7 linked regions of the Oryctolagus cuniculus genome follow. The protein of the gene in region 1 binds, or shares a complex with, the protein of each later gene. Links are inferred from orthologs where the notes say so. Each region holds a gene or a part of one and is shown in the gene's direction. Other genes may lie near its edges. The genes, in order: TXNL4A, PQBP1, USP39, LSM8, LSM5, LSM7 and LSM4.

Evidence for each region.
Region 2: the proteins of TXNL4A (region 1) and PQBP1 are in contact, whole or in part, in a crystal structure (PDB 4BWQ), measured with the Homo sapiens proteins. The link is inferred for Oryctolagus cuniculus from reciprocal best matches to the Homo sapiens genes TXNL4A and PQBP1. Residues at the interface, in NP_006692.1 of Homo sapiens: Gly11, Trp12, Val14, Asp15, Ile18, Asp68, Phe69, Met72, Tyr73, Glu74, Met82, Phe84, Asn87, His89, Met91, Gly97, Asn98, Asn99, Asn100, Lys101, Leu129; in NP_001027553.1 of Homo sapiens: Gln241, Gln242, Arg243, Pro244, Tyr245, Pro246, Ser247, Pro248, Gly249, Val251, Leu252, Ala254, Asn255.
Region 3: TXNL4A (region 1) and USP39 share a complex: the UniProt entries of both Homo sapiens proteins name them as parts of the U4/U6-U5 tri-snRNP complex. The link is inferred for Oryctolagus cuniculus from reciprocal best matches to the Homo sapiens genes TXNL4A and USP39.
Region 4: TXNL4A (region 1) and LSM8 share a complex: the UniProt entries of both Homo sapiens proteins name them as parts of the precatalytic spliceosome. The link is inferred for Oryctolagus cuniculus from reciprocal best matches to the Homo sapiens genes TXNL4A and LSM8.
Region 5: TXNL4A (region 1) and LSM5 share a complex: the UniProt entries of both Homo sapiens proteins name them as parts of the precatalytic spliceosome. The link is inferred for Oryctolagus cuniculus from reciprocal best matches to the Homo sapiens genes TXNL4A and LSM5.
Region 6: TXNL4A (region 1) and LSM7 share a complex: the UniProt entries of both Homo sapiens proteins name them as parts of the precatalytic spliceosome. The link is inferred for Oryctolagus cuniculus from reciprocal best matches to the Homo sapiens genes TXNL4A and LSM7.
Region 7: TXNL4A (region 1) and LSM4 share a complex: the UniProt entries of both Homo sapiens proteins name them as parts of the precatalytic spliceosome. The link is inferred for Oryctolagus cuniculus from reciprocal best matches to the Homo sapiens genes TXNL4A and LSM4.

Annotation. Positions count from the first base shown.
Region 1 is NC_091441.1:294,906-298,121, forward strand, and holds part of TXNL4A (thioredoxin-like protein 4A), read left to right. Parts: intron 1-1,866; coding exon 1,867-1,970; intron 1,971-3,216. UniProt on the Homo sapiens protein: Plays a role in pre-mRNA splicing as component of the U5 snRNP and U4/U6-U5 tri-snRNP complexes that are involved in spliceosome assembly, and as component of the precatalytic spliceosome (spliceosome B complex).
Region 2 is NC_091453.1:34,073,571-34,077,600, forward strand, and holds the start of PQBP1 (polyglutamine-binding protein 1), read left to right. Parts: upstream 1-1,230; 5' UTR 1,231-1,398; intron 1,399-1,508; exon of another isoform or gene 1,509-1,601; intron 1,602-1,663; exon of another isoform or gene 1,664-1,709; intron 1,710-1,799; 5' UTR 1,800-1,813; coding exon 1,814-1,880; intron 1,881-4,030. Other genes in the region: TIMM17B (mitochondrial import inner membrane translocase subunit Tim17-B), read right to left, coding at 124-223, 1,051-1,076. UniProt on the Homo sapiens protein: Intrinsically disordered protein that acts as a scaffold, and which is involved in different processes, such as pre-mRNA splicing, transcription regulation, innate immunity and neuron development.
Region 3 is NC_091433.1:117,039,207-117,043,442, reverse strand, and holds the start of USP39 (ubiquitin carboxyl-terminal hydrolase 39), read left to right. Parts: upstream 1-1,436; 5' UTR 1,437-1,495; coding exon 1,496-1,763; intron 1,764-2,752; coding exon 2,753-2,822; intron 2,823-4,236. Other genes in the region: C2H2orf68 (UPF0561 protein C2orf68 homolog), read right to left, coding at 55-173, 253-359.
Region 4 is NC_091434.1:153,851,217-153,853,832, forward strand, and holds part of LSM8 (LSM8 homolog, U6 small nuclear RNA associated), read left to right. Parts: intron 1-1,640; coding exon 1,641-1,768; intron 1,769-2,616. UniProt on the Homo sapiens protein: Plays a role in pre-mRNA splicing as component of the U4/U6-U5 tri-snRNP complex that is involved in spliceosome assembly, and as component of the precatalytic spliceosome (spliceosome B complex).
Region 5 is NC_091447.1:23,533,065-23,537,117, reverse strand, and holds the start of LSM5 (U6 snRNA-associated Sm-like protein LSm5), read left to right. Parts: upstream 1-1,253; 5' UTR 1,254-1,365; coding exon 1,366-1,411; intron 1,412-2,516; coding exon 2,517-2,612; intron 2,613-2,893; coding exon 2,894-2,921; intron 2,922-3,882; coding exon 3,883-3,955; intron 3,956-4,053. UniProt on the Homo sapiens protein: Plays a role in pre-mRNA splicing as component of the U4/U6-U5 tri-snRNP complex that is involved in spliceosome assembly, and as component of the precatalytic spliceosome (spliceosome B complex).
Region 6 is NC_091447.1:59,144,838-59,149,077, reverse strand, and holds LSM7 (U6 snRNA-associated Sm-like protein LSm7), read left to right. Parts: upstream 1-1,440; 5' UTR 1,441-1,493; coding exon 1,494-1,499; intron 1,500-1,579; coding exon 1,580-1,670; intron 1,671-2,662; coding exon 2,663-2,734; intron 2,735-2,960; coding exon 2,961-3,103; 3' UTR 3,104-3,147; intron 3,148-3,249; 3' UTR 3,250-4,073; downstream 4,074-4,240. Other genes in the region: SPPL2B (signal peptide peptidase-like 2B), read right to left, coding at 1,288-1,416. UniProt on the Homo sapiens protein: Plays a role in pre-mRNA splicing as component of the U4/U6-U5 tri-snRNP complex that is involved in spliceosome assembly, and as component of the precatalytic spliceosome (spliceosome B complex).
Region 7 is NC_091447.1:65,595,513-65,599,595, reverse strand, and holds the start of LSM4 (U6 snRNA-associated Sm-like protein LSm4), read left to right. Parts: upstream 1-1,283; 5' UTR 1,284-1,436; coding exon 1,437-1,439; intron 1,440-3,795; exon of another isoform or gene 3,796-3,971; intron 3,972-4,083. UniProt on the Homo sapiens protein: Plays a role in pre-mRNA splicing as component of the U4/U6-U5 tri-snRNP complex that is involved in spliceosome assembly, and as component of the precatalytic spliceosome (spliceosome B complex).

The DNA of each region.
Region 1 (3,216 bases):
CCGCTTTAAGCCGGGAGGTTGGCGATGCTGAGAAGCAACTGACTGAAGGACCACGTTGACTCTGGGGGCCTCTGAGCTTTCAGTGGGGTGTTGGAGAACACATGGAGTCCAGATATTCCCAGGAGTAGAGAGGAGTGTGTAATGAGCCCTCTGTTCCTGTCCTCGGCTGCAGTGGTTATTAATACGTTGCCATTCTCATGTTGTCTAGCCCTGATTATGCTGCAGCATTTAAAGCAAATCCCAGTTACCACATTATCCCATCTGTAAGTTAGAGTTGGATGTTAGAGTGACTTTGGAAAGAAATGTGGGTGGGTGCCTGTCTCCCATGGCTGCCAGAAAACGTCACAGGCCGGGTCTGCTCACAGTGTGGAGACCTGACATCCAGAGTCAGGGGCAGGGGTGTGCTCCCAGGACCTGGGAGAGAGCCTCCTCCACGGGGTGGAACCCACCCTGTCCTCCTTGGCCCCACAGCTTGTGCGCAGCACTTGGTGATGGGGGCCCACCTGCTGTTCCTGGAGAAGTCACACGCTCGGCATTGAGGTTGGACCTTATATGTAGCAGTGTGGACACAGCCCTGCTCAACACACGGAAGTGGTGTAAGCTTTCCGGAGGGTGTTGGCAGTATTTGTTTGAGCCTTACAGATGTCATATTCCATGGTCCAGAGGTTCTCTTGGGAATTCATCCTTAGGAAATGATGGAGTGTGTAAACAGTATAAGGGTACAGTTCACAGGTAGCATTAGTGTTAATGGAACATTTGATTGAGTCATGAAAAATCAGAAACAAAGTAACAGGATAGTAACAACATGGCCACTGGTGAAATAAGATGTAGAAGCTTGTGTTTCTGGAAGATGGGTAATTTGTTAAGGGAATGATCACAATGAAAGCAGGATACGTAATCTTGTAGTCTGACAACTGTATGATCACATTTCATAGAAACAGTACACATAGAATCTTTAAATTTTCTAGTTGATTTAAAAAAAAAGATTTATTTATTTGAAAGAGAGAGATCTTCCATCCACTGGTCCACTCCCCAGTTTTCCACAACGGCCAGGGGCTGGACCAAGCCAAAGCCAGGAGCTTCTTCCAGGTCTCCCACGTGGGTGCAGGGTCCCAAGCACTTGGGCCATCTGCTGCTGCTTTCCCAGCCATTAGCAGGGAGCTGGATCAGGAGTGGAGCAGCCAGGACTCGAACTGATGCCCATTTGGGATGCCGGTGTTGCTGGTGGTGGCTTTACCAGCTACACCACAGCACTGTCCCATAGAATTTTTTTTAACATGCCCTGAAAGTGGGGGGAAATGTGGCAAAAGAATTAGAGAAAAGAGGTAGAAGAGAAATGTAACAGAGGAATTAGACCAGTTACCTGCGGGTATTGAGGCTGGAGGTGATTTTACTTTCTTTATATTTTTCTGTTTTCTCTAAATATATTCTCTGATGAACTTGCAGTTAAAGAAAAAAATCACGGAAAATGTGTACAGTATCACCTGGGGTCCTGTTGGTACTGGCAGATGTTCAGTCCGGGACGGCTGGAAGGTCGTGGACGGCTGAGGTCTGCACACGTGTGGTTTAAAGCAGTGGCTCAGCATGCAAGCCCAGTTGTGGCAGCTCAGTGGGCTTTCGGGATCTCCCGTGAGTGCCACACTGTGAAGGCACTGTGAGAGACGCCAGAGTGAATCGTCAGAAGCCAGCTCCTCACGGTGTTGTGTGGTTTCCTTGTGTGCTAGCTTACTGGGCAGGAAGTGCTGGAGAATTCATTTGAAAATTGTCCAGTTATGACACAGAGTCTTGTTTTTTTAATGTGCTTTAACATAATGAGAGCCAAATGGATCTGTAATTTTAGTTTTTCTTAATTTCTTTTTCTCGTAGGTTAAAAATTTTGCGGTTATTTATCTTGTGGACATCACAGAAGTGCCCGACTTCAACAAGATGTACGAGCTGTACGACCCGTGCACGGTCATGTTTTTCTTCAGGTATGTCTGACCTCACGCACGGGTGGTCTGAGCTTGGCCGTGATCAGCAGTCCTGCAGGAGCAAGCCAGTTATGTGGTCACGTGGCCAGGGGATCCCTGTGAGTCTTCAGTAATTGTCAAAGTACAGTTCCAGTTTCCGTGTTTACTCAGTAACAAGTTCCCCTCTTGAAGTAAAGTGGCCAGGAAGGCCAGCAGGGTGCCATTGAAATAGAGAAGTTACTCTCACTGCCGGCGTCACTCACCAGTTACCACGTCAGCACCTTTGTTTAGTGTCCTTATCAGTTGGCTTTGCTTAAAGCATGTTTTCTCCGCTCTGAGTTCTGTTGAGTTATTTGGAAACAGCTTGGCCAGCAGCAGTGAGAGCACCGGCCACACTCTGGGATGGGCGCCTCCCAAGGGGAGCAGAGCCGGGGTGTGTGCTCTGTGCCCGCAGGCCTGCTGGTGAGGCTTTGGGCAGGGTCAGCTGCAGGACTCGGTCGCACGAGGCAGAACCGCGGCTGGGCTGCTCTCCGCTGTGGCTCATCCGGCTCCTTGTGCTCGTGGGTCTGCGGTCGCTGTGCCCTGCTTGGCTGGGAAGGCGCTGGCCGGTCGAGTCACTCTCACAGTCTCAGTTGGACCTGAAGCCCTGCTCTGGGCACTGGAGTGGCTCAGGTGGTCCAGCGCAGTCTGTGTGTCACATCAGCTAAGACTGGGAGCCCGCCTGGCCTCTCCAGTGCTCACAGGCGTGGGGTCTCAGTGTGCGCCCACCAGGAGTGTGCTGCCTGCAGGCGCCTCTGCCGCAGCCTCACGTCCCTCGGGCCGGCTGAGGCTCTGCAGACACCACTGCACCTGTGCGGCCCTGAGAGACCGAGAGGGAAGGGAGTCCACTGCCCCACATCCTGGATGGGCCCAGGAAACAGAACTGGGAGGGAGGCGCCGATCCACGGCCCGGCAGACTGGTGCCTGTACCCAAGTTTCCCTGCCTCATGAGCCGTGTCTGCCTCTGGGTCCTTTGTTCCTGGTTCCTGCGGTAGCCCTCTCGGCCGTCCCCAGTGTTAGAGTCGGGATGCCCCACGAGCAGGGAGGGGTTCCTGGCTCACCCCTTTCGCTTGTGACTGGGGTCTGCCACCCTTGGTCTTGCCTGGTTTCAGCGTATTTGCCATCTGCAGAGTCTGAGGGTTTATTTTCCTTTTTAAAATATTTATGTATTTGTTGGAAAGGCAGATGATAAAAGAGGAGAGATCTTTCATCCACTGGTTTATTCTCC
Region 2 (4,030 bases), on another chromosome or scaffold:
TAGGTGAATAGGGACCAGAAGAAGTTAAGTGCATTGGCCTGGCAGCTCCAAGCAGCTTTTAGAGTAGCGTCCTATGTGGGCAAGGCTGCTGACCCCCACACCACCCGGTGGGCCAGGACTCACAACAGGGGCGTTGCGGAAACCCTTGATGGCCTGGAAGACTCCGCCGCCGATGACACCCATGGTGAAGGCTCCACCGCAATCATCCACAATTCGCCATGGGCTGAAAAACCGGAAGGGAAGGTTGGGGTTAATGGGAGCCCCTCCCCTCCCTGGACTCTCTCCAAGTGGGAGAAACCAGTCACTGGAATGGCAAGTTTGTGAGTGAGAAGAAACACTTCAGATAACAACGAGCTAGTTCTGTCATTCTTTTTCCCTGATGAAATCGAGAAATGGGGCAAAAGGGGAAAAATAATAGTCTCTGCCTTGATCACCTTTTGCAGGCATCCAAGGAATCAGCCAATTACTTTACTAGCAAATATTAAATGAACTGAGGCATGTAGAGTTGGCGCATTTCAGTAAGGGTTACGGAAGTGTTAACTGGCTAGTTATTAAAAACGAGGTGACAGCCCCTTCTGGGACAGTGGCATCCAACCAAGCCTTGTCCCCTCCTCCTCTTAAACCAAGCACAACTGAGAAAAACCCAGAGGCCCGTTGGGAAAATCCAGCACCCCTCCTCACCCACAATAGGTTCACGCATGCCCCGCCCCGATTCACACAAGCGACCTGGGAAAAACCATGCGTGCCACCCTCCACCCACGCTGGAATGGACTGGACCAGCGTCTCTGCTCGCTAACAAAGAGGAACAGGAGCCACAAAGCCAGGGACAACATGGCGTGGTTCGTCCTGTACCGCCCCTTCTCTGGGCACACAGTTGTGGCCCCTTTTAAAGAACCCCGAAAGGAAGGAAGTACAGGGAGCGGAAGGCGAGAAGATTCTAAGTCTCCCTAATCTGGGACGCCGCACTGTGCGGCCGGTGCCTCCCCCGCCCGCCTCCCATGGCTGGTCTTGGGGCAGCAACAGTCCCGATGCCTGTGCCCATCGCCGTACCAAGGCTCCCGAGCATACTCCTCCATGGCGCCGGCGTCTGGAGGCACAGTCAGGCCCGAATCCTGTGGGCCACGCCCCCAGTGGAAACGCACCACAGGCGCTCTAGCTCTTCGCCTATCCCAGGACAGCGATTGGGTGGCTTCGCCACGTCAAACGCAGGACGCTTCTCATTGGACACCCAGGATAACGTCATCTTTCCACTGCAGTCCCAGCGTCTTCCAGTTACGTCTTGGCTCGGGTATTGAGTACGCCGTTGTGTGCTTTGGGGGAAACGAGTGGTGTGGTCCTGGTGATCAGAGCAGTGGCGAGAGGAAGGAGGCTGTTCTTTCTACCTGCCCGACTGTACTGGTAACGCGGGGAGGGGGAGGGGGGCATGGTTTTGCAGAGCTGGAGGAAGGGCTGCATTCCGCTCCCCCACCCCAGGGCTTTGGTTTTTCCCACCCAGCAGTCTTTGAGGGAGGTTGGGTGAGCCAGTTTCTGAAGCTGCGCTTGGCGCCTTTGGCGGTGGGTGGAGCCCGGGAGAGGAAGTGGATCCTGGAGCTCCGGGCCTAGTAAGTGAGCGGCTGGAAGGAGTTTTGTGACATTTGCAAGCCTCTTGTCTCTCGTGTTTTAGCGCATAGGTTGAGTCCGCCCAGCTAGCTCCTGGTGTATTTGGGAAGGTGAGAGTCCGATGAGTACATGCTACGGGAGGGATGAGCTCTGGGTTATGGGATCCAGATTTGAATCCTCATCAGTCTGTCTGTCCCCAGATCTGTCACCCGCTATGCCGCTGCCCGTCGCGCTGCAGACTCGCTTGGCTAAGAGAGGCATCCTCAAACATCTGGAGCCTGGTAAGAGAGCTAAGAGCAGATGGGCGTATCATGTATCAAGCCTGATAGGCCCTTTTTTCATTGATATGGACACTAAACACTCAGCGTGGACCTTCTGTGCTCTAAGCCGTGGCATGGCAAGGATTCCTGATGTCCATTCCTTTTGCAAACCATGCAATGTGTGTGTTTGTGGGGGGAGGGGGAGGTTGAAAAGATGCATATTTCATTCTTAACAATACACAACACTGATGCAAATTTCGGGCCTCCACGAATCACATGGAGGTAAATGCATAGTATTTAATAGGCTATGTGTCAAGTCCAGGATGTTGTTGTTTTTTTCGACTTACTCATTTGGGGCTGGTGCTGTGGTGTAGCGGGTAAAGCTGCCATCTGCAGTGCCGGCTTCCCAAATGGGCTGGTTCAAGTGCAGCCTGTTCCATTTCCAATCCAGCTCTCTGCTGAGGCCTGGGAAAATAGTGGAAGATGGCCCAAGTCCTTGGGCCCCTGCACCCGTGTGGGAGACTGGAAAGAAGCTCCTGGCTCCTGGTTTTGGATCAGCGCAGCTCTGGCCATTGTGGCCATCTGGGGAGTGAACCAGCAGATGGAAGACCTCTGTCTCTCTCTCTCTCTCTTTCTGCCTCTGTGTATCTCTCTCTCTGCCTCTGCCTCTCTGTAACTCTGACTCAAATAAAAATCTTTTTTTTTTTTTTTTGACAGGCAGAGTGGACAGTGAGAGAGAGACAGAGAGAAAGGTCTTCCTTTGCCGTTGGTTCACCCTCCAATGGCCGCCATGGCCGGCACGCTGCGGCCTGCGCACCGCTCCGATCCGATGGCAGGAGCCAGGCGCTCCTCCTGGTCTCCCATGGGGTGCAGGGCCCAAGGACTTGGGCCATCCTCCACTGCCTTCCTGGGCCACAGCAGAGAGCTGGCCTGGAAGAGGGGCAACCGGGACAGAATCCGGCGCCCCGACCGGGACTAGAACCCGGTGTGCCGGCGCCGCTAGGTGGAGGATTAGCCTATTGAGCCGCGGCGCCGGCCTCAAATAAAAATCTTTTAAAAATATTTTAAAGAAAAGATTTATTTATTTGAAAGGTAGAGTTACAGAAAGGCAGAGAGAGAGAGAAAACTCTTCAATCCTCTGGTTCACTCCCCAAATGGCTGCAATGGCTGGAGCCGTGCCCATCCAAAGCCAAGAACCAGGAGCTTCTTCCTGGTCTCCTGTACGAGTGCAGGGGCCCAAGGACTTGGGCCATCTTCTGCTTTCCCAGCCCACAGCAGAGAGCTAGATGAAAAGTGGAACAACAAGGACTCGAACTGGCACCCATATGGGATGCCGTTGCTGCAGGTGGATGCTTAACAAAGTTGCAGGCAGATGATTAACCTACTTTGTCACAATATCAGGCCCCAGGATGTTGCTTTTGTTTACCATACTGATAGAATGTATTTTAGAAGTGCTGTGTTGGAAACAGAGTTAACATGTATTTTAGACCACCCAAAATGCCTGAAATGCACATGATGGTTAGCACTGAGGGTGTTTCCAAAAGTTTGTGGAAAAATGAAAAGGTGAGTTTAGGGACAGCTGTTTGGCTTAGTGGTTAAGCCAGTTGTCAGGGTACCTAGCAGGTGCCTAGGTTCAGTTTCCAGCTCTGGCTCCTGCCTTGAGCTTCCTGTTAATGCAGACCCCCAGGAGGCAGGGTGATGGCTCAAGTAATGGGTTTCCTGCCACCCACATGGAAGACCTGGTTTGACTTCCTGGCTCCCAGGATCAGCCTCACTGCTGGGCACTTGGGGAGTGAACCAGAGGGTAGGAGTGCTCTCATGCTCATTCTCTCTCTCAAGTAGATAAGTAAATATTTTAAAAAGTAAGTTTAACTTGGTGCAAAAGAAATTAAATCTGTGCATAGTTTTTCCATAATATGTATTTTTCATGAACTTTTTATATAAAATGACAGGATTTCTTATATAGGCTTATTATATTGCTGGCTGCTAATTCCACCTACTATCACTAATAGAAAAGCTGGCATCTATTTTGGGCTATAGTGTGCTAGGCACTAGAAACTACATCTATTGTCACCTTATTGATGACCGATGTCTATTACAAACCTAGTGTGCTAGAAGGCAGGCTTTTGGCCTAGCACTTGAAATGCTGCTCAGGATGCTCACATTCATAT
Region 3 (4,236 bases), on another chromosome or scaffold:
CGTGGAAGGGAAGAGCGCGTAGGCTGGAGGAGACGGCGGGGCGGGTGGCCTCACCTCGATGTCGCGGCAGGTACACCTGCAGGTCGGGCTTGCGGGGCCGCGTCGGCGCAGGCGTGTGCCGCCTCCTCACCTTCTCCTTGGCCGCCTGCTTCACCTTCTTGTCGTAGTCGTCCCTGCGGGGAGCCGAGCGGGAGTCAGGGACAGCCGGCCGGGCCAGGCCAAGGGTGGCGGTGGCGCGGGGCGGGGAGGTACCGGGCGATCTGGTTCCGTCGGATGTGGTGCACGAAGCCGTGGCTCATGTCCAGCCGCCCGCCAGGCTTGCAGCAGAGCCTGGGCCCGGGATCCCGGGCCGCCTCCATCTGGAGCCCTGGGCGCAGAGTCGCCGCCACCTCAACGGCCCCAACGGCCGCCCTCCCGCCGGTGGAGGCCCGAGCCAGCCCGCGCTCAGCTTCCGGCCGGGAGTCCCGACTTCCGGCCGCGGGAGGGCTGGCGGGACCGAGCGCCGCGGCGCGCGGAGTTCGCGGCGCCGACAGGGTGGAGGCGGGGCTGTTTTGTGTCATCAAAAGGAAACAAGGACTTCGGCTTACAGTTGGTACATCAAAAAATTTCAGAAAAAAAGGCACATCTACTAACGCCTGTGAACACTACTCGCACCAGCTGCGTGAACTGAGCTGACCCCGCCGTGCCTCAGTTTCCTCACCTGTAAATGGGAACACGGAGAGCACCTTTCTCAAATAAGCTGTGTAGGCGACCAGGTGCTGGGGCAGGCTACGGCTCCGCGAAGACTCGCCCGGCCCTCCCCTGCCCTGCTCTAGTCGCTCAGTACCAGCCCCAGGGTTTTTGAGCTCCGGACCGCCCAGGACAGGCTCACTCGGGTTGAGGCCGGACAGGACCCCTAGATCGTGGCGATGTCACGGTGCATCCACGTGGGAACGGAGCGAACCGAGCGCGTTAAACGTGCAGGTCCTTGTGGGTCAGCTATACCCCCAATGTAAACAAACCAACAAGCAAACAAGGTAATAGCAGGCTCCTAGGTTAGAGCTTTATTGGCCTTAGCATTTTGCTGACAGCTAGAACCCTCTAGTTGTGGAATCAGGGTTGCCACGTTGCCGCACGGGCTTTATCGCCTTGTTTTCCCGTGCAGGGCCGTCAGTCTCAGAGGAGCCAGGACTGGGGGAGACGACATCCCGAGGCGCTAAGTATCTCGTGCGAGTTATAAAACCGTATAGGCAGGAAAAAGTTCAGGTTATTTTAGGCTGAAAATGATAGGTAAAGAGGAAATTAGCCCACAAAACGTTCCCAGAAGCGCACGGAGCCTAAGGATGCCAGGAATGAAGCGACTCCGCCCACAATTTTCTGTAGCGCCATAGATTTGTCCCCGTTGGCGACCCGTAGGGAGCTTTGCGGGCTCCACCGGCCCCGCCCCTGATTGGCTGCGCGTCGCGCATTTGCGCGTGCCTGGCGCCTGCGCTGGACGATCTCTCCGGTAGTGGAGATGTCTGCCCGGTCCAAGCGGGAGTCCCGTGGTTCCACCCGCGGGAAGCGCGAGTCCGAGTCCCGAAGCAGCTCGGGTCGTGTCAAGCGAGAGCGAGATCGGGAGCGGGAGCCGGAGGCGGCGAGCTCCCGCGGCAGCCCGGTTCGCGTGAAGCGGGAGGTCGAGCCGGCGAGCGCGCGCGAGGCCTCGGCGGCCGCCGTCCCGGTGGTGCGGATTAAACGGGAGCGCGATGCGGACGAGGACTCGGAGCCCGAGCGGGAGGTGCGAGGTGCGCGAGGCCGGGCTGGGCAGGGCGCGAGCCCCACCTTCGCCATCTCCGTTTTGTCTTTGACTTTCTGCTACTTCCCCGCCTGGATGGGGGAGGGGGATACAGATGTTCCGATGAAGGCAGTGTTAGTAACCGTAGTTATTTGAGTATTTCTGATAGCAGCAGCAGCAACACTTTTCCCATAAGCCCTCAGCTGTAGGATCCTGCTGTAATTTGCAGTCTGGTGTTGGGAGACTTCTCCATCGGCTTCCCGCGTCTCTGCGCACACAGCGACCAGAGGCTGGCTCGTCAAAGGTGTTCCTATAGTGAACAGTCTGGGAGGGCAGAGGTGCCGTTTCCCAGTAGAGCGAAGGAGGTGGCCAGCACACAGCCCCGTTTAAAAAAGGAGTTAGGATCTCCAGCCTCAGGATTCTGCCCCTCTCGGGCAGCGCACTGTGCGTGGGTTCTTAATGTTGCCTTGTGAGAGCTGACGAAGGGAATGGATAGCAAGGCTGTCTTTTGGCTGCTGCTATTACTGCTGTAACAGACTCCTTTGTTTCAGACCCAATAGTTGGGGGTCTTCCATTAGCATCCACGAAACTGCCAGACTAACTCCCTAGCCTGCAAATAGAGTAAAACCTTATAGTTCTTGGCAAGTGTTAGATTGAAGGGCATTCATTTATGCTATTTAAATTGTTCGTGGATGTTACATTCAGTTTATCTTGTAACCTGTGATATGTTTCATATCTCTCATGCTTCATGGAATTCTTTATGTAATAGATTAGTGGATTTTTGTTTATACGTGTACCAAATATATTCTCCTAGTTTGAGGCTTATTCCACTAGCAGACATTTTTTTGGTTGCTGTTGCTCTCTGAAAGGAGTTTATGTTAATGGGGAGCTCATCTTGATGGATTGCGTGCTAGTGTGTCTTCAGTTGTGTCTTCCTTCTGTGTTTGGCCTTGAGTACTGGTTTCTCATTTTCAAAGCCTGTGGTGATTTTCCTTTTAGCGAAGAATGGCCGCGTGGATTCTGAGGACCGGAGGAGCCGCCACTGCCCGTACCTGGATACCATTAACAGGTCAGTAGGGTAAAGACACCAGAGGTAGCAGAACAGTGGAGGAGCCAGTCTTTTAGCTTAGTGGTTAAGACACAGGTTAAGGGGCTGGTGTTGTGGTGTGGCAGATAAAGCCCTGATTTCATGCTGGGATCCTAAATGGGCAGCTCAACTTCTGATCCAGCTCCCATATGGGATGCCGGTACTGCAGGCAGCGGGTCTACCGCTGCATCACAGCGCCGGCCCCTTCAATTAATTTTTTTAAGGGGCCGGCGCTGTGGCTAAGCAGCTTAACATCCTGGCCTGGAGTGCCGGCATCCCATATGGACACCGGTTTGAGACCCTACTGCTCCACTTCCAGTCCAGCTCTCTGCCATGGCCTGGGAAAGCAGTAGAAAATGGCCCAAGTGCTTGGGCCCCTGCACCCATGTGGGAGATCCGGAGGAAGCTCCTGGCTCCTGGCTTCTGATCAACGCAGCTCTGGCTGTTGCGGCCAATTGGGGAGTGAACCACTGGATGGAGGACCTCTCTTTCTCTGCCTCTCCTCTCTCTGTGTAACTGACTTTCAAATAAATAAAAAATAAATAAATAAAATTTTTAAACATTTTTTTGGCCTAATCTTTGTTTGAAAGGCAAAGAAAGGGAGACAGAGAGAGAGAGAGAGAGAGAGTGAGAGAGTGAGAGAGAGGTATTTTCTACCTGTTGATTCATTCCTTAAATGCCCACAACTAGGGCTGGCCGGGCCAAAGTCAGGAGCTCAGTTGGTGTCTCCCGCATGGGTGTACTTGAGCTGTTTGTCATGTGTTGCTTCCCAGGGTTTGAATTAGCAGGAAGCTGGAATTGGAAGTAGAGCCGGGACTCAAACTCAGTGTTCTGATATGGCTGTGAGCGACCCACGTGATGTCTTAACTGCTGTACCAAGTATCTGCTCCAATGTTCATAAACAATTTCTGTTTGTTTATTTGAGAGGCAGAGAGTGCCCGTGTGTAGGTTAACTCCTTAAATGCCTGGCTGGGAGCCAGGGACTCAGTCCAGGTCACCCACATGGGTGGTAGGGACCTAGCTACTTGAGCCTTTAGTAGTAAAGGCTGCCTCCCAGGATGTACATTAACAGGAAGCTAGGATCCAGAGTGGAGCCAGGACTTGAACTTGTTCTTCATTTAAACTGGTAGAATACGTGTTGTAGAAACGTCAGAGAGCATGTTGTTTAAGGGTGGGCATATGCATGAAGAGCTCTTAGCTCATGTTGAGTTTGTGTGTTGTAATAATTTGTAGTAGCAAATTTAAGTATTTATTGAGTACCGATTACATACGCGGTACTTTTCTGGGTGCCTAGGACTCAGTAGGAAGATAACAAAAATTTTCTTGAAAGCAGAAATAGTCACCTCGTTATGCTATTTTTTTCACTGAGTCGGAGGTGGCATGTTGGATACCTTCC
Region 4 (2,616 bases), on another chromosome or scaffold:
TTTGGGGAGGCAGAGACAAACAGAGAGCTCCCATATTGCTAGTTCACTCCTCAAATGCCTGTAACAACCAATGCTGGGCCAGGGCAGGAGCAGGGAACTCAATCCAGTTCTGTGTGGATGGCAGGAACCCACTTAATTGAACCATCATGTGCTTCTTGCCAGGGTCCACATTAGCAGGAAGCTGGAGTCAGGAGCTGGGTATCAAACTGAGGTACTCTGATGTGGAACATGGGCATCTTAACCACTAGGCCATATGTCTCCCCTGTAGTTCTGTATTGATTGATAATTCACTTCATAGAATGAGTAGTTACATAAGAGATTATGGGTGAATGCTTGTGATAACTACCACTTGCTAACTAGTATAGCCAGATACTCCATTATCTTGCTTCCAAATTCTAGGTCCTGGGTTTCTCTGTCATTCTGACTTTATGTATATGACTTTGAGAACATGCAATCATTTATAGTGAGCTTGAGATTTAACCAACACAAACCATTATAAGCTGATGTTTCTTCAGAAAGGAAATTAGCTTTTGAGTTACTGAATTGTATTGTATCTTTGTTTTCCTTTATCCAAAGCCTAGTTGTACCTATAGAGAATTTAATAATAATAAATACACGAGGCTCAGAATACTGGCAACTAGTAATTGTTTATTAAGTGTTAGCTGTTATTACCAATTGAAATTTGCATTTTTTTTTTTTTTGACAGGCAGAGTGGACAGTGAGAGAGACAGAGAGAAAGGTCTTCCTTTTGCCGTTGGTCCTCCCTCCAATGGCCGCCGCGGCCAGTGGCCGGTGCACCACGCTGACCCGATGGCAGGAACCAGGTGCTTCTCCTGGTCTCCCATGGGGTGCAGGGCCCAAGCACTTGGGCCATCCTCCACTGCACTCCCGGGCCACAGCAGAGAGCTGGCCTGGAAGAGGGGCAACCGGGACAGAATCCGGCACCCCGACCAGAACTAGAACCCGGTGTGCCGGCGCCACAGGCGGAGGATTAACCTAGTGAGCCGCGGCACCGGCTGAAATTTGCATATATTAATATGACTGATTTGACTCTGAAAAAGCAGCAAATTAATTTAGTTGGTTAGGATAGAATAGTATACTTCATTTGGTCTGGCGTTGGTGCTAGCCTTTTGTGGTTTCAGGTCTTCGTTCTGATACTTACCACCCATGAGACCTTGAGAAAGTGCCTTAGTTTTTCTTTTTTGAGATAGGGATATTACAGTATGAACTCAAAGGGTACAGATTAGTTGATATAGTATGTGCAGTGTGTTGGGCACAGTACCTAGTCCTGGTTTGTAGCATACAGTGTGTTACTTTGCTGTAGCTGGTCTGTATGTTTCTTCCTTATTTTTAAATATATATGTATATATATATATATATTGTTTTCCTTCAAATCTCCCTTGTTTAAAAGAAGTCAGTTTGACAGTGGACTTATTACATAAAATAGACAACTATATATATATATATATATTGTTTTCCTTCAAATCTCCCTTGTTTAAAAGAAGTCAGTTTATTTGATAGTGGACTTATTACATAAAATAGACAACTTCTGTCTGTTGATGACTAAATGGTTGTAAGGTTGAATATACACATTCAAGTAAAATAAAATATTTGTATTTTTGTCCTTTATGTTTTTACAGGGAACACTGAAAGGCTTTGACCAGACCATTAATTTGATTTTGGATGAAAGCCATGAACGAGTATTCAGCTCATCACAGGGAGTAGAACAAGTGGTACTAGGGTTATACATCGTAAGAGGTGACAATGTGTAAGTAAAATACGTCCTTTTTAGACATCTTAAAATTATACAAGCGGTGAAGTGGAGAGTGCTGGCGCTGTGGCATAGGTAAAGCTGCTGCCTGCGGCGCCAGCATCCCATAAGGGTTCCAATCCCGTCTGCTCCACTTCTGATCCAACTCCTTGCTAATGCTCCTGGGAAAGCAGCAGAGGATAACCCAACTGCTTTGGTCCCTATACCCGTGTGGAAGACCTGGAAGAAGTTTTTGGCTCCTGGCTTTGGCCTGACCCAGCCCAGACCATTGCAGCCATTTGAAGAGTAAACCCGTGGATGGAAGATCTCCCTCCCTCTCTCCTTCTCCCTCTCCTTTTCTCTTTCCCTCTTTCCTCCTCCCTCTACCTGTAACTCTGGATGAGATTTCAAAAAATTTTTGGAAAAGGTATTAAAAGTGAATTTATTTTGGTGCAGAATTTTAGGGCACAAAAAGTTTGTGGAAAAATTTGTATTATGAAGAAAGTGTGGATTGCCAGTGGCTTTTTTGCACCAAAATATATTTTTGATTTTGTGTTTCCACAGGTTTTTTTTTTTTTTTTTTAAGGTTTATTTATTTGAAAGATAGAGAGTGATGGAGAGAGAGGGAGAGACACAGAGAATTCATCCACTGGTTCACTTCCCAAATGGCCTCAATAGCCAGCTCTTGGCCAGGCTGAAGCCAGGAAGCAGGGACTCCATCGTGGTCTCCCGTAAGAGCAACAGTAACCCAACTACTAGGGGCATTGTCCATTGCTGTCCCTGGTATGTTAGCAAGAAAGTAATTTCTACAAACTTTTTGAAGTCCCCTTTTATGTTAGCATTCTTAAGGAGCCACAGTTGATAAG
Region 5 (4,053 bases), on another chromosome or scaffold:
ACAGCAAGGATGATAAATTAAGAAAGTAGCAACAAGTTAAAAGGAAAAAGCTATTATAAATCCTCAGTATAAAACAAAATTTTACATTTAAAAAAAAATGTGTAAACCATTTTGAAAAAAAAAGATTTACTTATTTATTTGAAAGGCAGAACTACAGAGAGGAAGAGGCACTATCCACTGGTTCACTCCCCAGATGACCACAAGGGTTGGAGCTGTGCTGATCCGAACCCAGGAGCCAGGAGCTTCTTCCAGGTCTCCCACAAAGGTGCAGGGCCCAAGGACTTGGGCCATCTTCTACTGCTTTCCCAGGCCACAGCAGAGAGCTGGATTGGAAGAGGAGCAGTTGGTCTTGAACCGGAGTCCATATGGGATGTCGGCATTGTAGGCAGCCTTTACCTGCTACGCCACAGCGCTGGCCCCTCTTTTACTTTTTTTTTTTTTTTTTTTTGACAGGCAGAGTGGACAGTGAGAGAGAGAGACAGAGAAAGGTCTTCCTTTATCCGTTGGTTCACCCCTTAATGGCCGCTGCTGCCAGCGCACTGCGGCAGGTGCACCACGCTGATCTGAAGCCAGGAGCCAGGTGCTTCTCCTGGTCTCCCATGCTGGTGCAGGGCCCAAGCACTTGGGCCATACTCCACTGCACTCCCTGGCCACAGCAGAGAGCTGGACTGGAAGAGGAGCAACCGGGACAGAAGCCTCAAGAAAAGGAATGTTTTTGGGGCCGGTGCTGTGGCACACTAGGTTAATCCTCCGCCTGCAGTGCTGGCATCCCATAAGGGCACCAGTTGTATTCCCAGATGCTCCTCTTCCGATCCAGCTCTCTGCTATGGCCTGGGATAGCAGTGGAAGATGGTCCAAGTCCTTGGGCCCCTGCACCGGCGTGGGAGACCCAGGGAAGGCTCCTGGCTCCTGGCTTCGGATCGGCCCAGCTCCGGCCGTTGGGGCCATTTGGGGAGTGAACCAGCGGACGGAAGACCTCTCTCTGTCTCTCTCACTGTAACTCTGTCAAAGAGTGAATTGGTGGCGGGAAATACTGATTTTTACTAGTCTTTATAAAGACAATTTTATGGGAAAACAAGCCAAAAGTTTCCTTATGCGCTGTCCTCTCGGTCGGAGGACGAACTCCTTCAGGAGGTTAGCAATCTTCAGCGTCTCTCCGAAGCCTGGGAACGAATCTGCAGGGCAGCACCCCAGGACTCCCACTCCCCAGCAAGGCAGCGCGCGGGCGCCGCCCACGTGGAGCACGCCGGCCGCCCGCTCGGCCTGCGATTGGTCGAGCCTGCCCGGCCGCGGGCAAAGGCGCAGGCGCGCTCTTTTAAAGTCACCGTGGAACGTCGATGGACGCAGGCCACTTCCGGCGTAGCCATGGCGGCTAACGCTACTACGAACCCCTCGCAGCTGCTGCCGCTAGGTAATGGTTTTCCTGTGAGGGAGCTGGGGCGGGAGGCTGGGGTTCAGGACTGGGGGCCGCGGGGTTGCGGCCGAGGCACCCCTGGCTGGTAGCGGGCCTATGTGTGGGGCCGAGCGTTTCCCCTCCGCGGCTCGCGCCGGCTCCCGAGCTCCTGCGCGCCAGGCCGCTGCTGCGATGTAACGTGCTCCTGCCCCTGGAGGCAGCTCCTCGGACTCCCCCGGAACGAACCGTGGGCGGGAGAGGGCCGCACTGGGCGAGCGCACCGTCGGCCGTGTTTGTTGGGAGCGCTGCGGCGCCGTGTCCGGAGTGGCATTTGGGATCCCCAGATGGGGTTCACCCTGTTGTGTGTCTGGGAGTTGAGCGGGAAGCAGCGCGCTGTGGAACGAGCCTTAGAGGAGGAATCTGGAAACTAGCCCTGTTTGCCATTCATTCATTCATTCATCCATCCATTCAGTAAGAGCCCGTGTTCTTCCTGCGTGCTAGTCCACAGCGACCTTAAACCACAGCCATCGCTCCCGAAGGGTACACAAGCCAGTGGAGGAGACAGTACTGGACAAGTAAACCTTGTGCCCCCCGTGCCAGGCTGGCCAGAGGTGCTGAAGCTGCCCCCAGCACCGCGGGGCTTCACTGGCGAGGGAGGAGGTGACAGGAGGCTCCCGCGACGACGGTCAGCGGCCTCTGACATTGTGTAGCCGGCGAGGAGTGGTTGCGTTGACGGACTTCAGTGATTAGGCTCGTGGAAAGCCCCGTAAATGCCCGTCCCTGTCCACTGAAGATCCAGCGATGGGCGAAAATGAGCACAGTGTCCGGGCTCGTGGCGCTTAAGAGTCTGGGGGGATGTGTTTGTGTCCCTAAATTAATCACGTGATCTGGAATAAAGATAAAGCCACAATCATGATAGATTGCTGCACAGAAAGGAGAAGTGGAAAGGCTTCTGATTAAGTAGTGGGAGCGCAGAGGTTTGCATTTTAAGATCCGAGGTTACCAAAGGGGGATGTTCTTCCTAGTTTAATTTTCACTGAATTTGGCAAGTAACAAATGCCAGCGTGCACTCGAGTATGTGCTAAAATGATGAATGGGTAAAATAATCTTTTTGCTCACGCAGAGCTTGTGGATAAATGTATAGGATCCAGAATTCACATTGTGATGAAGAGTGATAAGGAAATTGTTGGCACCCTTCTTGGCTTCGATGACTTCGTCAGTATCCTTTTAAAACGTGGTGCTGTGGCTTTTTCCTGTTTATTTAATAACAGAACCGTAGACAGTGTGTTTCTGGGTGTTAACGATAAAAGTCAGTTCATCTCAGGGCACTTGTGATGGTGTTTTCAGAGGTGAGTATACTGGAAGAAGGTCACATTCCTACCAACAGTCAGCCTTTTTATTATGAGCCTTTGTGTTAAATATTATCATTACAACTGAATGAAAGCAGAAACCAGAGTTGTTTCAACCTGGAGTGTTTATTTCCTTAACACCACCTTTCAGATATGGTATTGGAAGATGTCACTGAATTGTGAGTAGTGCTAAAAATGACAGAACTCGGCTCTTTTTCAAATTCAGGACATTTTAAGTACTGTTTAGTCAGCAAAATGGAAGTAGAGGCAACTTTTATTTACTAATGCTTGTAAAAGTTATGTAATTGTTGCTGAATTGCTAGGAAATTAGTGGAGACAAAGCTTGAAGGTAACAGATGTTAACGTGCAGGGATTTTAAGGCTCAGGTCATATCAAGGACCTGATGATGAAAACATTTAACTATATAATGTAAAATGTAAGTGATAAGTATTAGTTACATAGTAGTTTAGTGGGTAGAAATCAGTAGTAATACAAAATGTTAAAGAGTGAGTCTACTAAATATTTTATATTTGATCTTGGCAGGTTCCACCTTTTTTTTTTTTTTTTTTGAAGATAAGTCTCATGGCTGTGAATCTTTTTTAAAGCTTTATTTATTCAAAAGCCAGGTTACAGAGAGAAAGAAAGAGAGGGAAGGAGGGAGATCCTCCATTCGCTGGTTTACTCCCCCAAAGGGCTGCAATGCCAGGGCTGGGCCAGGCTGAAGCCAGGAGCCATGAGCTTTCCCCAGGTCTCCCACATCTGTTCAGGGGTTCAAGCACTTGGTCCACCCTCTGTTGCCTCCCCAGGCACATCAGCAGGGAGCTGGACTGGAAGTGGAGCAGCCAGGACTCAAACCAGTGCCTGTATGGGATGCAGCACTGCAGGCAGCAGTTTAACTTGCTGAGCCACAGTGCCAGCCCCCTTGGCTATGGATCTTATTTATATCCATTGGTCTACTCTTGCTTTTGATGAAGAGTGTACATTACCCAGTGGATAACTTTTATCTCTGAAAATCACCTTTATAATTGCTGAACTTTCGTTTATACAAACATTACCTTTTTAGAGAGAGAAGGTGTTTCTAAAATGCTGCCTTTGGTTACCACCATTTATCCTGACTTTCTGTTTTATCACTTCATTTAGTGAAATCACACCGGAAGGAAGAAGGATCACTAAATTAGATCAGATTTTGCTAAATGGAAATAATATAACAATGGTAAGACACGTTAAAACTGTTTCTGTGGGACAGGGCTTACAGACCTAACTAGTAATGTTGCCGGTTGCTTCACTCATGCCGTGGCTTGGTGGTGCTTA
Region 6 (4,240 bases), on another chromosome or scaffold:
GAGGGGACCTGACTCCTGGGGGGGAGCAGAGGGGACCCTAACTCCAGGTGGGGGGCAGAGGGGACCCAGATCCGGACAGGGGGCGGGGGGACCCTGACTCCAGGCAGGGGGAGCAAAGGAGACCCGGATCCGGGTGGGGGGGCAGAGGGGACCCTAACTCCAGGCAGGGGGGGAGTGGAGGGGACCCGGATCCAGGCAGGGGGGCAGAGGGGACCTGACTCCTGGGGGGGAGCAGAGGGACCCCGACCCCAGGTGGGGGGCAGAGGGGACCCAGATCCGGACGGGGGGGAGCGGAGGGGACCCGGATCCGGGCAGGGGGGCAGAGGGGACCTGACTCCTGGGGGGGAGCAGAGGGACCCTGACCCCAGGTGGGGGGCAGAGGGGACCCCGACTCCTGGTGGGGGGAGTGGAGGGGACCCGGATCCGGGCGGGGGGCAGGGGGTACCCCCACTCCGGGGGCGGCGCTGGGCTCCAGCCTGCGCAGCCGCGAGGGGCCCCACACATCCGCGGGGGAGGCAGGCGGGCGCGGGGGTGTCGGGGGCAGCCTCCCCGCAGCGGCCCTAACTCCACCCCGCACCCCGCACCGCGGCGTCCCGGGAGCAGAGCCTGCTCTCCTGGGCCGGACACGGCCTCCGGGACTCCCAGGACAAAGTCCCCGGCCCAGCCCCACGCCCACCCGAGGGGCCTCCCGCGCGGGGCGCCGGCTCGGCCTCCGGGCACCCGCTGAGACCGGGGGGCGACGCGCCGCCAGGGACCCCGCTCCTGGGGCCGCGCAAACCGGGACGCGGCGGCTGTCCGCGCCCCGCAACCTCCCGCGCCTGCAGGGGTGCGACCCCCCCATGCAAGGTCACCGAGCAAACGCCGGCGCGGGGGCCGGGGGGCCCGGGGCGCTGCCCCGCACCGGGGGACGCCTTCCCGCCAGCCCTGGGGGCAGGGGCGCGCGTGCCGCACTGGGGGAAACTGAGGCTCGGAGCGCGGTGGGCGCCACAGCGGCAGGGGAGACCCCCGAGACGGACGCACGGGACCCATCCAGGGCCTGCGGGTGGGGAGGACGCGGGACTGCGGACCCGGCCAGAGGCCGCGGCGGGCGAGGACGGCCGCGGCGGGGGCGGCACAGCCCCGCAAGGTCACGGCAGGGCCCCGGCCCCGCGGCGGGGGACGCGGGGGGACCGGGGTCCCGGAGGCGGCGGCCCCAGGGCGGGCGGAGCGCGGCGCCACGCGGGGCCCGGGGCTGCCGGGGCAGAGCAGCCGCGGCCCGCGGGGCTGTCAGGGCCGGCGCAGCCTCACCTGGGCCGCGAAAAGCAGCGAGGCCGCCGCGAGCCGCGCCAGCGCCAGCGCCGCCGCCATGTCGGCCGGTCCAGCCGCAGCCGTCGGCAGATGTTTCCCGGCAACACCCCCGGCGGCGCCTGCGCGCATGCGCGGCGCATGCGCACGCGCGCCCGGGGTCAAAGGCCGCGGGGCGGCGCCTGCGCGGGGCGGCGCGGGGCGGGAAGATGGCGGTGAGCGCGCGGCGGAGCCGGGGCGGGGAGCTTGAAGTCGGGCCGCGCCCCCTGCCTCACGCGCTCTGCTTGCCCCGCAGGACAAAGAGAAGAAGAAGAAGGAGAGCATCTTGGACCTGTCCAAGTACATCGACAAGACGATCCGGGTGAAGTTCCAGGGAGGCCGCGAAGGTGAGGCCGCCCCCTCCCCGCCGCCGGCCCCGTGCGTTCGCGGGTCGGGAGGCGGCGGGCGCGGGGGCCAGCGGAGGCGGCCCCGCAGCTCTGCCCGCGCGCGGCCCCGTCTCCCCAGCGCGCTGCCGCCCCGCACCGGGGCCTCTCCGCGGGCGCGGCCCCCCGCCAGGGACCCCCTGCTTGTGCCGGTGCCCGGGTCTGCGGTATCACCAGCGCCCGCCAGGGGGCGCGCCTGCACGCGTGGGAACCGCGGCCCTAGAAACGGAAATGCATTTATTTCGGAAAGGCGCGAGAACTCCCCTCTCTGGTTCGCAGCCCGGGTAGGACCAGGAGCTGCATCCGGGTCTCCCGCGTGGGGGCAGGGTCCCCAGGGTGCGATAGGGGCGCGGGTTCGAGTCCCGGCTGCTCCACTTCCGGTCCAGCTCCCTGCTGTGGCCTGGGAGAGCAGGTGCACGAGGGCCCAGGTGCTGGGGGCCGCTGCACCTGCGTGGGAGACCCGGATGGAGCTCCTGGCTCCTCGCTCCGGATCGGCGCAGCTCCGGCCGTTGAGGCCGTCTCGGGAGTGACCCAGCGGCGGGAGGGCCTCTCCCCGCCACGCTGGCCCCGGTAGGGGAGTGGGGCCGGCCCCCCAGGACACTCACCAGCCCACCGAGCCCACGTGTCACAAGCTGTCTGCTGTGGCTGTGGGCCGGGGTCGCCGTGTTCCGCCCCGGGACTCGCCTGCCGCCCGCGCCGGGTCAGGCGGGGGGCCTGGGTCGCTGACCCCGCCCACCCACTCCCCTGTGGGGTCGGGGCCCCAGCGCGCAGGTGCGGCAGCGGCCTGAGGTTGCTGGAGCCGCAACCCGAATAGCAGTGACCACCGCGGCGTCCCGCGCTGCGCACTGGCTCCCCCACCCAGGGCCGCGCTGCCCTGCCGTCCCAGCCCGCGCCGGCTCCCGCGCTGCCCCTCTGGGCGGGCGGGCTGGACCTCACGCCCCCCCCCCCCGCCCCAGCCAGCGGCATCCTCAAGGGCTTCGACCCCCTGCTCAACCTCGTGCTGGACGGCACCATCGAACACATGCGAGGTGAGCCGGTCCGCCCCCCGGGGACGCCCAGGCCGTGCGGGAGCCGGGCGGTGAGGGTGGGTCCCGCGCGGGGTTGCGGTCTTCCCGCCCCGCCCCGCCCCTGACGGCAGCCCTGCGCCTGCTGTGCCCGGCCCCGGCCCCGGCCCTGGCCCTGTCCCTGTCCCTGTCCGTGCGGGGTGCCGGCCGCCGCCCGCCGCCCGCCTGCCTCAGCCCTCCCCGCCCGCAGATCCCGACGACCAGTACAAGCTGACGGAGGACACGCGGCAGCTGGGCCTGGTGGTGTGCAGGGGCACCTCGGTGGTGCTCATCTGCCCGCAGGACGGCATGGAGGCCATCCCGAACCCCTTCGTGCAGCAGCAGGACGCCTAGGCCGGCGGCCGGCCTCAGCCCCGCCCCCGGGACCGCCTACCCGCCTGGGTCGGCCCCGCCCCGCCCCCGGGACCCTGCCCGCCTGGGTCAGCCCCGCCCCGGCACCGCCCCCGCCACCTCGGCCCCGCCCCCGGGACCCTGCCCGCCTGGGTCAGCCCCGGCCCCGCCCCCGCCAGCTCGGCCCCGCCCCCGGGACCGCCTACCCGCCTGGGTCGGCACCGCCCCGCCCCCGGGACCCTGCCCGCCGGGGTCAGCCCCGCCCCCGCTCAGTAAAGCCGCAGCCCCTCTGCCCGCTCGCCTCGCTTTCTCAGCCCCTGGCCCCGGGACCCCTCCCCGTCCGCCGCCCCCTCGCACCCTCCCTCCTGGGCGCTGGGGCACGCGGGAGGCGCGCGCTGCGCTGGAGCCCGGGCCCCTGGCTCACGGGGCTCACCGGGCTCTGCGGCCCGCGGGCGCCAGCTGCTCCGGGCCCCGCACCTGCTCCCAGCCATCTGGCCTGGGCTCCCTGTCAGAGGCCATCTCAGGGCCGGGGCCGTGCACTGCGGGGTGGGGGGGGCGCCTCACAACTGAGGGACTGGACGGCGGATGAGGGGAGCACCCCCCGTTTCTGAGCCCCCGCAGCCCCGGCTCGGCCTAGCCCCGCCTCCTGCCGTGGCTCTGCTCTGTGAGCGCTGGGGCGCAGCGGGCGAAGCCGCCGCCTGTGGTCCCGCTTCCCACGTGGGCGCGGGTTCGAGTCCCAGCTGCTCCACTTCCGATCAGCTCCCTGCCGTGGCCTGGGAGAGCAGTGGACGATGGACCAATGGTGGACCCCTGCACCCGCGTGGGAGACCCGGATGGAGCTCCTGGCTCCGGATCGGCGCAGCTCCGGCCAATGCGGCCATCTGGGGGGTGACCCAGCGGATGGAGGACCTCTCTCTCTGTCTCTGCCTCTCTGTAACTCTGCCTTTCGGATAAATAAACCACTTTAAGAAAACTGGGCGCCTTGGGGAGAAGGGCCTACAGTGGGCTCGGGCCGGCACGTGTGGTCAGCCGCCGGGTGGGTCTTGCAGAGCTGGGTGCCTCCGGGCCCCCCCTGGCTCGCTCTGGCCTCCAGGAGTTGGCAGCGACGGGGGCTGGGGGACGGGGCTGGGGTCTCCCGGT
Region 7 (4,083 bases), on another chromosome or scaffold:
CCTGCGAGACCCAGCGTGAGCCTGGCCCGGACCGGCCGTCTGGGGAGGAACCAGCGGGCAGAAGCTCTCCCCCCAACCCCCCTCCGTCATTTGACAGGCAGAGCCCCTACCCGCCGCCTCCCAGGTGCCTTGGCGGCATCAGAGCAGAGCCGGGGCTCGAACCAGGGGACTCGAACCAGCGTCGAACCAGCTTACGCCGGCCGGGCCTCTGCCGCAGCAGACCCTGGGTTTCAGCGCCCCAGGCCCCCGCGTAGGAGGGGCCGGGCCTGTGCGCTCCCGCTCCCGGCGCCCGGAGACTCCAGAGAGGGGCAGGCTCTGCCCTGGGCGGGGCCGCGGGGCCTGCGGGGGAGGGGGCTTGAAAGCTAAGGTTATCTGGGGGCAAAAATAAAAAAGCAGAATCCACAAACTCTCTCCTGTGTGCTTTCTCTTCACACCTTTTATTCTTTAAAAACTTTATTTTTGTTTATTTGCAAGACACAGGGACGGGGGAGAATCTTCCACTAGGTGAGGTCAAAGCCAGGAGCTGGGAACTCCTTCCGGGTCGCCGGGGGCCCAAGCAGTGAGCCACGGCTGCTGCTGGCCAGCGTCCGCGTGCGCAGTCCAGCAGGGCCGGGGCTTGAACCCGGGTGCTGAGATGTGGATGGAACCGGGACTTGAACCCAGGGCGCTCGGATATGGCCTGGGCCGGGGCCGGGTTTCGAACCCGGGTGCTCAGATGTGGCCAGGGCCGGGACTCGAACCCGGGCCCTTGGATGTGGCAGGGGCCGGGGCTCGAACCCGGGCCCTTGGATGTGGCAGGGGCCGGGGCTCGAACCCGGGCCCTGGGATGTGGCCGGGGCCGGGACTCGAACCCAGTAAACTAGGATCTGGTCCGCGGGCGTCCTCAAATCCGGGCCACACGCTCACCTGGGGAACCGATCTCTCGAGTCCGCAAACACCTGACGTCACATTGACGTCACCTGCTAGTTCGGGGACTGCGCTGCGCCAGCATCGCTAAGGGCCGCCGGTTCGAGTCCCGGCCGCCCCACTTCCAACCAAGCACAAGAACGAGACCGAGACGCAAACCCGGCGCCATCACGGCCCGGCCCACACCGCGGAGCCCGGGCGACAGGACCGGCTCCTCTCTGCGCATGCGCAGCTACCCACAATGCAGCCGGCGCGCGCTGCTCCGCCCCCTTTTGCATCACTCGCCACGGCACTTTACGGCTCCGTCGCGGATTCTTCTGGCGGGAAGTTAGTCCCACCCCCTCGTGCTTCGAAGACCCGCCCTTCTGTCCGGGGATTGGTTATGCGTCCCCGTCGCCCCGCGGTGACTGGCTCCCGCTCCTGCCACTCCTTTTCAGGCTTGTGGCGCGCGGCGGGGCGGCGACCGGCGGCAGCGTGATCGGCGGCGGCGGCGGCGGAAGTGGCCGGGGAGCCCGGTCCCCGCCGACACCATGGTGAGGGCCGGGCGCCGTCGGGGTCTGACCGGGAGGCGGGGTGCGGCTGGGGGTGGGCACGCGGCCGTCGGCGGCCTTCGGGTTGGGCCGTGGGGGTCGGGGCGGTGCGCTCCGGACGTGCGGGCGCAGCGTCCAGTCCCGCCCCCAGCCCCGAGCCGGGGAAACTGACCCGAGACGGCAGGTGCCTCGCCCGGGGCACCAGTACGTTGTTCTCCGAGGTTCACGGCTGGGCCGCCGTTAATCAAGGCTCAGCAGGTCAGCTGCGCGCTGTCCACTTTCCAGACGGGGAAACTGAGGCCGGAGGGGGCGGGGACCCCGCCGTCGGGCACTGTGGCTCGTGGGTGCCGCTGGGGGCTTCCGGCCCAGGGCAGGGTCCCCAAAGCGGGGCCGTGCGTTTCTCAGAGCCGGGGCCCGGTGGCCGGCGCCCGCTGCACGCCTGACGGCGGGGCTGGCCACCACGGCTGGCGGGCACTGCCCCTGGGAGTCCCCAGCTTCCGCCTGCTGCCGAGTTTCCTGGCCCAGGGGTGCAGGAGTCCTGTGGTCAGGGCGGGGCCTGGGGTGGGGGCGCCCACGGAGGGTCGCCCCGAGTTAGGAGCCCTTGGGTGTCGTCTTTGTCTTTGGTTTTTACGCACTGGAAAGAGAGGGAAAGGCAGGTGCAGAAAAGCCCCAGACGGCTCGGGGCTGGGGCAGAGCCAGGCCAGGAGCTGCACCCGGGTCTCCCACGCAGGTGCCGGCCCCCCCAGGCGCTCCGTCCGGGTCTCCCACGCAGGTGCACGGCCCCAAGGAGCTCCGTCCGCGTCTCCCACGCAGGTGCAGGGCCCCAAGGAGCTCCATCCGGGTCTCCCGCGCAGGTGCAGGGCCCCAAGGAGCTCCGTCCGGGTCTCCCACGCAGGTGCAGGGGCCCGAGCGCTTGGGCCATCTTCCACTGTTTTCCCAGGCGCGTTAGCGGCGAGCTGGGCGGGAAGTGGAGCAGCCGGGACTCGGGATGGGCGCGGGTGTCCCTAGCCGGTCTGCGGGGAAGCGAAGCGCCCTGGGCTGCGCCTGCCCCTCCGCGCGGGCGCTCCTAGTTCCTCCCCTTGGACCTGTGGCTCCCGCTCCTCCCTTTCCTTGGCGGCCGCCGGGCCCGGGGTGGTGCTGCCTTAACCTCCTGCAAATATTTACCCTGGCCCCCGCGCCCGCGCGCCCTCCCGCGGGGGCAGCCTCCACGCCCACTGCGGGTTTTCCAGTCTAGCCGGGGAGACAGGTAATAAACACACGCGATAATTAGACGCCGGCTGCAGCCTATAATGAAATAAACAGCCGCGCGCCCCAGGGTGCCCATTAGCTGGGCCTGGCCCAGGGAGGTGACAGGGGGCGGAGGGAGGCGGCCCCGGGGCTGTGGCTGCCACCTGCCGGGGTCACGGGCCGGGGCGAGCGCCCAGGTGCCTGTGGCGGGGAGAGAAGCCCCACCCCCAGCCAGCGTGAGGCCCTGTGTCCCTGCGCCCCAGCGTGGCTGGCGACACACGGCATCCAGATGACAAGCAGGGGCCGCCCCGCCCCCACCGCCGCCCCCTCTCCACGTGGCCCCTTCTTCCTCCTGAGCCCGGCCTCCAGGAAGCCGGGGCAGGAAGTGGGCTTGGGCCTGGCTTCCTGCTGCCCCCGGCCTCCCCTCCCCCAGGGGCGCTGCTGGGGAGGGCCCGCGGCGGGGGGGGGGTCTCCTCCTAGCTCACGCAGGAGGCTGGGGGGCGCAGGCCATCGCCCACTGGCGGAGCCGCCTTGCGTGGGGCGGGGGTTCCTGCCGGTTGGAGCAGACTCAGGTCCTCTGACGCCCGCGCGGCCCCTGGCAGACCCGGAGGGGGTCCCTCCTGGACAGGTCACGCCCACCCCACCCTGGCCCGGTGACCGGAGCACTGGGTCATCTTCAGCTGTGCCCCGCGCAGGAGCTGCGTCAGAGCCGGGGCTCAGCTCCACAGCGCCCCCAGCTGTCCGCCCGCCGGCTCCCCTGGGGCGGGGGGCTGCCCTGGGACGGACGCGGTCCCTGCGCTTCCGCACACAGGCCAGGGCCCCAGACCATGGCAGGGGGTGGCCCAGGAGCCCCCCGCAGGCGCAGCATCCCGGGAGCACCGGCTCCCTGCGGAGGGCCTGGGAGGCAGCGGGGAGGGGAGGGCCCCGCGCTGGGCCCCCGCCCCCACCGCCCACGCGGGAGACCCGGATGGAGGCCCTGGCTTCGGCCCGGCCTTTAGTTGTTTGAAAGGCAGAGATACGGGCGCCCTGCAGGCCCCAGGCTCCTCCGTGAACTTTCTGAATGCGGTCATATCTGCACCTCAGCTGGGCTCATCCAGCCAGGCGCGTGATTTATTTACTTTATGGGAGGGAGAGAGGTCCCACGTGCGCAGTCACTCCCCAGAGCCCGGAGCGCCATCCCGGGGCTCCCAGCCAGGGCGCGCATGCGCGGGGAGCTGAGCGGGCCCTACCCGGGGGCCCCCAGCCTGGGACGCAGCCGCCCTGACCAGGACGCCCAGCGCACACCCCTGTAAATCCGCGCGGTTATTGGTAAAAATGAGCAGAGCGGGCCTTGCGTAGACCTGAAGTCTTGGCGCGGCCTATGGGCCCTGCGTGGAGCCGTCCCCGCTCGGCCCGGGCCTGCGTGTGTTCTGGAATGTTC